2 linked regions of the Mus musculus genome follow. The protein of the gene in region 1 interacts with the protein of each later gene in a biochemical or structural test. Links are inferred from orthologs where the notes say so. Each region holds a gene or a part of one and is shown on either strand. Other genes may lie near its edges.

What was found.
Region 2: the proteins of Vegfa (region 1) and Nrp1 form a complex in vitro, tested with the Homo sapiens proteins (8 studies listed by BioGRID, with this or other methods). The link is inferred for Mus musculus from reciprocal best matches to the Homo sapiens genes VEGFA and NRP1.

Annotation. Positions count from the first base shown.
Region 1 is NC_000083.6:46,029,377-46,033,951, forward strand, and holds the start of Vegfa (vascular endothelial growth factor A), read right to left. Parts: upstream 3,002-4,575; 5' UTR 2,515-3,001; coding exon 1,915-2,514; intron 1-1,914.
Region 2 is NC_000074.6:128,494,884-128,498,693, reverse strand, and holds part of Nrp1 (neuropilin-1 isoform 1 precursor), read right to left. Parts: intron 875-3,810; coding exon 603-874; intron 190-602; coding exon 93-189; intron 1-92. UniProt on the Homo sapiens protein: Cell-surface receptor involved in the development of the cardiovascular system, in angiogenesis, in the formation of certain neuronal circuits and in organogenesis outside the nervous system. Mediates the chemorepulsant activity of semaphorins.

The sequences.
Region 1 (4,575 bases):
CCCCAGAAGGACCAACTCCCACCCTTGGTCTGTCTCTGTCCCCTAAGAGCAGTTCATCCAGGGACCCTCAGTCTTGCCACCAGGGCCAAGGTCAGAGGTGACCCTTCTCAAGAGATAGCTTCCCCATTCCAGCTGCCTCAGGTTGGCCCTGGATTCTGCACTGTAGGCCCTCACTACCCCCTCAATAGCCCCATGACATTCTCCTTATTCTTCTGTCTAGCCCCCCGTGGAGAAAGGGAACAGAAACTTTGAACCCCTTCCCAGATGGGGAGGTTCTAAGGCAGGGACTGGCCAGGTGTCCTTCTCTGGGGGCCTCTGAAGGTCACACTGTGGCCAAGCACTCCTATCCTCCTCCCCACATGGAGGCCCAGAACCAAGGCCTTTGTGCCAGGGTCTGGGGAACTCTGGATGGTGGCAGGGACACCTGCCCTTCTCCTTCCTTCTGCCTCCTTTCCAAGAAGGCTCTACAACTGAAGCTTCGTGGAAATAAGCATGAAAGGACCCTTTGGTAGGCAAGTTGGGTGGGCAAGTTCGCAGTTAAACCACCTGCTCTCTGGGCATCGGGCTTTGCCAGGACAAAGTGTGTGAGAGATACTGACTGACAAGGGATCCTGCCAAAGGTATGGGAAAGGGCTGGTTCCAGGCTGCCCCTGTCAGAGCAAATATCAAGTCATGTTTCCAAAGGGGGGGTGGGGGTGGGAAATGGGGTGATGTCAGTCCACCCTTCGTTGATCCACCCCCCCCCCCGCAAAAAAAAAAAAAAACCTGAAGCACAGCTGTGAGGGGAGGAGGGAGCACACCTTCACCAACTCAAAACTTAGGTCAGCGTTTCCACAAAGAACCCGAGGGTGGGCCTCAGCACCCCCACGCCTGACAGTCACCGTCCTTTTCCTGGACCCTGGGTCCAGGAAAGGTCCGATGAGTCTTCGCAAAGAAAAGGAAAATATAAAAGGGTGGGAAGGGCTTCTCTTTTTACACCAGGCAGGAAATGGGGAAAAGGGGGAAGGGGCGTCGGGAAATTCTTCCTAGCGCGAGGCACGGGTAGAAGTTGGGAACGGAGGAAAGAGGTATGGGAGTTTCTCCGGGTCCCGGAGCTGGGGATACCTCCAGAGGTCACCTTCCTCGCGGAGGGCCGGTGGGGGGAGGGGCGCCGCTCGTCGCCCGGGTCTCCGGGCTCCGGCAGCCGCGGCTCCGGGAACACGAGGCCGGCCAGGCCCGGGCTGATGTAATCGGCTCTGCGCCGCGCGCGCCCGGCCAGGCGGGGGAGGGCGGGCACCGCGCGGGACGCGAGCGGGGACGGGAGGGGGTGGCGCGGTGCAGGTGGCCCAACAAGCTAGAGCGGTGGGAGAGGGTCCCCGCAGCAATCCATCCTAAAACTTTCCCCAAACTCACTGCAAGGGCCTCAGAGACCCAAACGGCAGTGACAGCAAAGCCCCCTCGGTCGCCCGCGCCCTGCCCCCTCCACGATCTCTGCCCTCCCCGGGTCCAAGGTCCGAGCACCCCCAGGCATGCCCGCTGGGCTCCGGACTCCCGCCCCCTTTGCCCGGACTTCCAGTTCTCCGGGGACCCGCGACCCGGAGCAAACTTCTGCCGCCAGCCTCGGCACAAGCCCAGCCCCCTCAGCCTCCTCCTCTGGCTCCCGCCCTCCGCTGCTCGGCCCAGATCGTACGTGCGGTGACTCTGGTGGGTGGGCAGGGCCCGCGTGGGCGGCGAGACGATCCTGGCGCCCTCCCACCTAGCGCGCACCCCCTCCCCCTCCACGTACGACGACAGAGGGGGACGCCTCGCGCCCGGTGCCCAAGGACCCGCGTGGGGCACGAAGCCCCCCACGCGCGCGCTCGCACGCACGCACGTCCCCAAGCGGGAGAGGCGCTCGCCACGGCCCGGCGACAGCAGACGGGCACGACCGCTTACCTTGGCATGGTGGAGGTACAGCAGTAAAGCCAGGGTCCAGTGCACCCAAGAGAGCAGAAAGTTCATGGTTTCGGAGGCCCGTCCGGGGCCGGCGCGGCTCGCGCTCCCTCTCCGGCTCGGACTGCGAGGCAGCCCGCTCTCTTGCGCGCCTTGGCGGGCTCCTCTCCCTTCTGGAACCGAGGCCCGGGCCGGGGCCTGGGGCGCGCGCGCGGCTGGAGCACTGTCTGCGCACACGGCCGCCTCACCCGTCCATGAGCTCGGCTCCTGAGAGCCGAGCGCCCACTGCGGCCCCCTCTCCTCTTCCTTCTCTTCCTCCCCTCTCTTCTCGGGCCCCGGCTTCTCCAGGCCCGAGCTAGCACTTCTCCCAGCTCCGATCGGTTTGTCTCCTGCGGCGCAGACCACGGCTACTACGGAGCGAGAAGAGCCCAGAAGTTGGACGAAAAGTTTCCGTGCAATCCCGCGAGCCCCGACCCCCTCCACCCCGCCTCCGGGCGCGGGCTTCGGTTCCTCGCGGCTCGCCGCCGCGTCCACCGTCGGCAGCCCGCCGGCGAGGAGGTGGGCGCTGGGGCTGGGGGCGGTGTCTGTCTGTCTGTCCGTCAGCGCGACTGGTCCGATGCAAGATCCCAAGGGGGAGGGCTCACGCCGCGCTCTGGCGGTCACCCCCAAAAGCAGGTCAGTCACTTTGCCCCTGTCCCTCTCTCTGTTCGCTCGCCAGCGCGCTCTCTCTGACCGGTCTCTCTCTCTCTTCCTTGACTTCTCTCTGGAGCTCTTGATACCTCTTTCGTCTGCTGATTTCCACAATCCGAAGTGATTTGAGGGAGTGAAGAACCAACCTCCTCAAACCGTTGGCACGATTTAAGAGGGGAATAGGAAGCAAAAATAAATTAAAGCGTAAAACAATACAGTTTAAGAAAAAAAAATTAAGAGGTTTGAATATCAAATCCCAGAGCACAGACTCCCGGGCTGGTGAGTCCGCTGAATAGTCTGCCTTGTCGCTGCGTCTCGCGACAGAGCTCCGCTGCCGCCGCTCAGCTCGCCCCCAGTGCCGCGGCCTCGCTGCAGCTCGGCTGCCCCAAGCCTCTGCGCTTCTCACCGGTAACAGCGGTGGAAGAAAAAGAGGAAATCTAGCTCCACCCCCAAGCCCCGCCCAGACCCGCCCCGGGGAGCGGTCTGGTGGAGCCAGGCACCGCCTTTCGGGGAGCCCCTAGGCCACTACCGCGAAATGGAAAGCTAAACCCCTTACCAGGGTCCACGGCCTCAAAATTATCTGTGCACCCCTTCAAACTGGGCTCAGGAACACACTGGGAATCCCAGAGTATTGGGAATCAGGGGAGACAGGAGAGTGAGGTTATATGCGGACAGGGTCTAAGAACAATTCCCTTTCCCAGGAATATAGGAGAAAGTAGGGGTTGGAAGGCGGAGAGCTGGCAGGGACGTATGAGGATAGGGACAACTAGAGTGACCCCTGGCTTTCTCCCCCACCTCACAAACACACTACACACACACACACATGCATGCACGCACTCACATTGACACACGCGTCCTCCCTCACGCAGACTCGGCTCGCCCAAGTTCACGATCTCCCCGTGATGGCCGAGCGCCCCCTAGTGACTACATTATGCACACCCCAACTCTTGCTCAAATGGCACGGGTCTTGGAAAGGGGGTGAGAGTTGATTCTTGAGTGCGGCAGACTTTGAGCTCCCAAATAATTGCGTGTTTCTGACATACACACACACCCAAAAAGTTGCGTGTTTGACCTCGGAAGCATAACTCTAGGTTTATATGTGGGGAGGGGGTTACGGGGGGGGGGGAGTATGCTTATCTGAGCCCTTGTCTGATCTGCAGTCATCAGGAGCTAGGGCCCTGGGGTGAATGGGATCCTCTGGGAAGTTTCCAGAGAGGCTTCTCTGGAGAGAATTTGGCACCAAATTTGTGGCACTGAGAACGGGAAGTGGAGTTCTGGAGTTAGTCAGTGGCGGGGAGTGAGACGACCTGTGGAAACCCACGTATGCACTGTGTAGTCTGGCAGAGCCCTGAAGGAGAGACAGCTGGGCAGACAGAGGCCCTTGTTCCTCCTGATCTCTCTCTCTCACACACACACACACACACACACAGAGATGTTGCCAGGGAACTGAAGCCAGGGTGCCAATGGGGGCAGAAGCGGGCCAGGCCGGCATGGTGATTCAAACCTACCCTAGCATTCAGAAAGGTAGGTAGGCCAGCTGCCCAGCGCTGCCGCCAACCCTCGGAAGGGTGGGAGTAGAGGCTCCCTCAGTTCTAGCCTAGGCTTACGGTTCATCTTCTAAACAGAATTCAGGGGTGTACTCTGTCCTCCCATTCTCCCTAAAACCCTTGGCTATTTCTCTATGCTTGCACACTTAGCCCGTGTGGCTCTGTCCCCTCTCTTTCTACTAAGTCCCCTTCTCCATGTCCTCAGTGTCTTCCTTAAGAGCTCTCCAAAACCCCCACCTCTAACCCACCCTTGGATATAGGAACCAGCCTGGAAAAATTCCTGGTTGGGCTTTGGCCCAGCTGCTCCTAGGCTCCCCTGGGAACAAGAGGGGGCTCCGATACCTGTGGGAAGAGAGGGACCAACCAGTCCCAGCCCTCACCCAGATCTGCTGGACTTCTGAGAAAGAGAACTCAACAATCTTCCTAT
Region 2 (3,810 bases), on another chromosome or scaffold:
CTGGGCTAAATGACAAGGCAAAGTCCATCACATGCTAAGGATCCTGCCAGGGCTAAGGGCTTTGTTTACTTCCAGCCCAAACCCATCCTTACTTGCACAGTCTTCCTGAGAAATATGGTTGTTAATACTGATATCATCCACAGCAATTCCACCAAGGTTTCCTTTTCCGATTTCACCTTCAAAAATAACCTGAAAAAAAAAGAGATGATTTTCACGATATTTTCAAGTTCTGTCTCTTCAGCATCAATGTTTACACTCTCTCAGTTGAAGTGTTGGCATAAGTTCATGAGACTGCATGTAAGTTAAATTCATGAAATTGCACAAAAGTTAGTTATTCTTCTCTATTAGTGGTAGAGATGATTCAAACATGCAGTTTTCAAAAGATAAACTTTAAAAAGGAAGAAAATATTTAAACAAAAGGGATGCTATCTATGACATCTCAGAAATAAGTTATGATGAGGAGTATTTTTTCCTGATGTCATCTAAGAGACAGTGGGATATGTCACCAACCCAAACATTATGGAGGCAAGAGTTTAGGGTGGTAAAGAATTTTACACATTATCCCAGTGTCCTGAAAACCTTAGCCCTCCTTTTGTGCATACCTGATATAGTTTCAGAGATTTGTGCAGCAAGACACGTCCTTCTTTCCAGTGGTCTCCTTGGTGCCCAACCACCATCCAGACCAGTTGATCATATTCCTCTGGCTTCTGGTAGCGTAGTTTGACCCTCAGTGTACCCACATGAGAGCCGGACATGTGATACCAGAAGGTCATACAGTGGGCAGAGCTCTGGGAATAGACCACAGGGCTCACCAGGCGGGCTACTTTGCCTTTCTGATTTTCATCAGCTTGGGAATAGATGAAGTTGCCATCTCCTGCTGAGGCAAAACTGTGTGTCAGGGAGACCAGCAAAATTTTTACAGATCTTTTCTCTCTCTCTTGCCAAGTACTACCCAGAAACACATTCTTCTGGGCTGGGTACCAAGGAACCAAGCAGCCAGTGAAGAAAGCAGATGCAATTATTGGGAACCCCATAGGCACTGGTGGCCATGCTCAAAGAGGCTTTAAATAGACTCTGAGTACTGTTTACCCAGATCATGGTATCACAGGGAACTAGACTACATATTATATCTGTCTTCATACTATCAAAGGTAGACTCTAAGCACAGTCTATCTACAGACTTTGAAGAAAGTGTCTGACTAATGTTTAAGCACATCCATGTACACTCAGATACCCAGGGCATTAGCTGAGATACTGATTCTGGGAAGCAACCTGTTGGCTGCTTAATGTGTTTTTTTTTTCTATTACACTTTTCATTCATATATATACATATACATATATATATATATATATATATATATATATATATATATATACACACACACATATATATATGTATGCATATATATACACACATACATATTCTTGTGTGTAGATGCATGTATATATATGTATTTGTGTATGTTTGTGTGTGCACACATGTATGCACATGCTTGCTTCTATAGTCAAGTACATGCATGTGTGCAGGAGCTCATACTATGCTTGTAGAAGATAGAGAACAACCTTAGGTATTATTTTTCAGGTGCTAACCATTTTTTTTTTTTTTGAGACTGAGTCTTAACAACTTACAACTCCAAAAAAGGATAGGCTAGCTGGCCAGCAAACTCAGAGCAAACACCTGTCTCTAGAGCTAGGAAAACAAGTGTAAGCCACCATACCTGGTTTGTTTGTTTTTGATTTTTAAAAGATTGATTCTAAGGAATGAATTCATATCCTTGTGTTTACAAAGCAAGCACTTTTTTTTTCCTGACTGAGCCATCTTGCCAATTCCTAAACATCTTTAAAAATTGTTCTTATTTTCCCTTTAGTTCATGTTAATGATCTATGTGTGTGCCCAAGAGTTTGATTCTCATTTGCAAGCTTGCTTCTGTTTGCTGTGCTTCCGGCCTAAGAAGAAGTAAGTTTGCATATCTGAGGCTCATTTGAACATGCTGTTTTGGCAATGGTGATGTTTGTGGTGCCATAAGGACTTGCTGTTGTCTCTGCTTTAATCACCCCCAGTGGGAACGACTGTTCTTGCTTCCACCTGGTCTAAACACACAACCTGTGGGCCACTTTTTGCTCTATGAATAGGAATCACAAACTCCCACACCTCACATGATGTAACTGGAAATGTAATGTGATGCTTAGGTCTCGGAAGGCAGCGGGGTGCTTCCTCTGCTGGCCTATGGGCTTGTAAACCTACGAGGTACCTTTTCACTGTGCATGTGTGGGCATGTCCTTATGCTTTATTTCAGTAGTGTCTAAGTGTTTTAGTAAGCAGCGCCCTTTCCTTACTAGGCAATCAACCTAAGCTCTCATAGATGCTCTTATTAAGTCAGTGAATGGATCCATAAATTTCCCTGACTGTTTGAGTCATGTGTGAGTCTCTCTCTCTCTCTCTCTCTCTCTCTCTCTCTCTCTGTGTGTGTGTGTGTGTGTGTGTGTGATGATCAGAAATGTATGCTGGGCATTCCTTAATCAGTTCTCCACTTTGTTTTAAGACAGGGTCTCTTAGTGAACTTTAAGTCTCTGATTTGGTTAGATTGGCTGACCATCAGTGCCAAAGACCCTCTAGTCTCCCCAACAGTGGGATTATAAGTACACAAGGCCACACCTGGCTTTTTATGAGTGCTAGAGACATGAACTCAGGTCCTTGTGTTTGCATGAGAGCCACTTTACTATAGAACCATTTCCTGAGTCCTCACTGGGTTCTCTATTGCTCTTACAGCATGCCTCTGCCCCTGGGCACCCCTCCAGCCACAATGTGATGATTTCTACCTACAACTAGACATCAGGTCCTCCTCCTTATCCTCCTTCAGCACCCACGAACATTATGAAAAAAAAAGTCTATGCTCAAGTCCTTTGGGCAAAATGGTTGAGTGCAATGCACAATCTGTGTTGGTGAGTTCCAAAATTTTGAGTTCAACCAACTTCAGATAAAAAAATATTCCAAATTATGTCCATATTGAACAAATGTTTTTTCCCCTTAAACAACACATTGTAGGGACTATTCACATAACATTTGTGTTATATTAGGTACTATAATTAAAATAGAAATCTTTTTATCTAGAGGTAAATATAGGTAGAGTTTATGCAAATGTGTTATTTAATGTGAGGCACATATGGAAGCCAATTGTACATATATTTCCAGTGCTGAGCACGGCAGCTGCTGGGTAAAAGACCTGCTGAAATGACATTTTTTTTTTCAGTGAACAAAGGAAGAGGCTGGAATCCGTTATAAAGAGGTACACAGATCTATTCCTATAGTCAAAAGCACAAAACCCAATGGGAATCCTTTACATTCAAAATTAGGAATTTTACTTAAGTAGTAATAATTTAAAAATGCTTTCACATCCAATTTGCAAAGTTCATCATTATCATTGTTTTTGAGAAGGGGTTTCACTATGCGGCCTGGGCTGGCCTTGAACTTGTGGTCCTCATGCTGAGGGCCAGGATTCTAGTGAGCACCACTGTGCCTAGCTTCCAAATACTATTAAAAGTGCAGGGAAGGGGTTGCAGCTCAGTTTGTGCAATGTTTGCCTAGCATGCATTAAGTCCTGGCTTCATTCTCTAGTATCATAAATCTGGGGATTGTGGCAGATGCCTATAACCTTAGCAATCCAAAGTGGAGGCGGGAGGATCAGAAATTCAAGGTTCTCATCAGCTACAAGTGAGAACTTAAAGCCAGTTCTGGCATGAATGAGTCCTAGTCTTTTTTTAAAAAATCAGTGAAAATTCCGTGAGTGCCTATGTTCATGAGAGTTAGCAG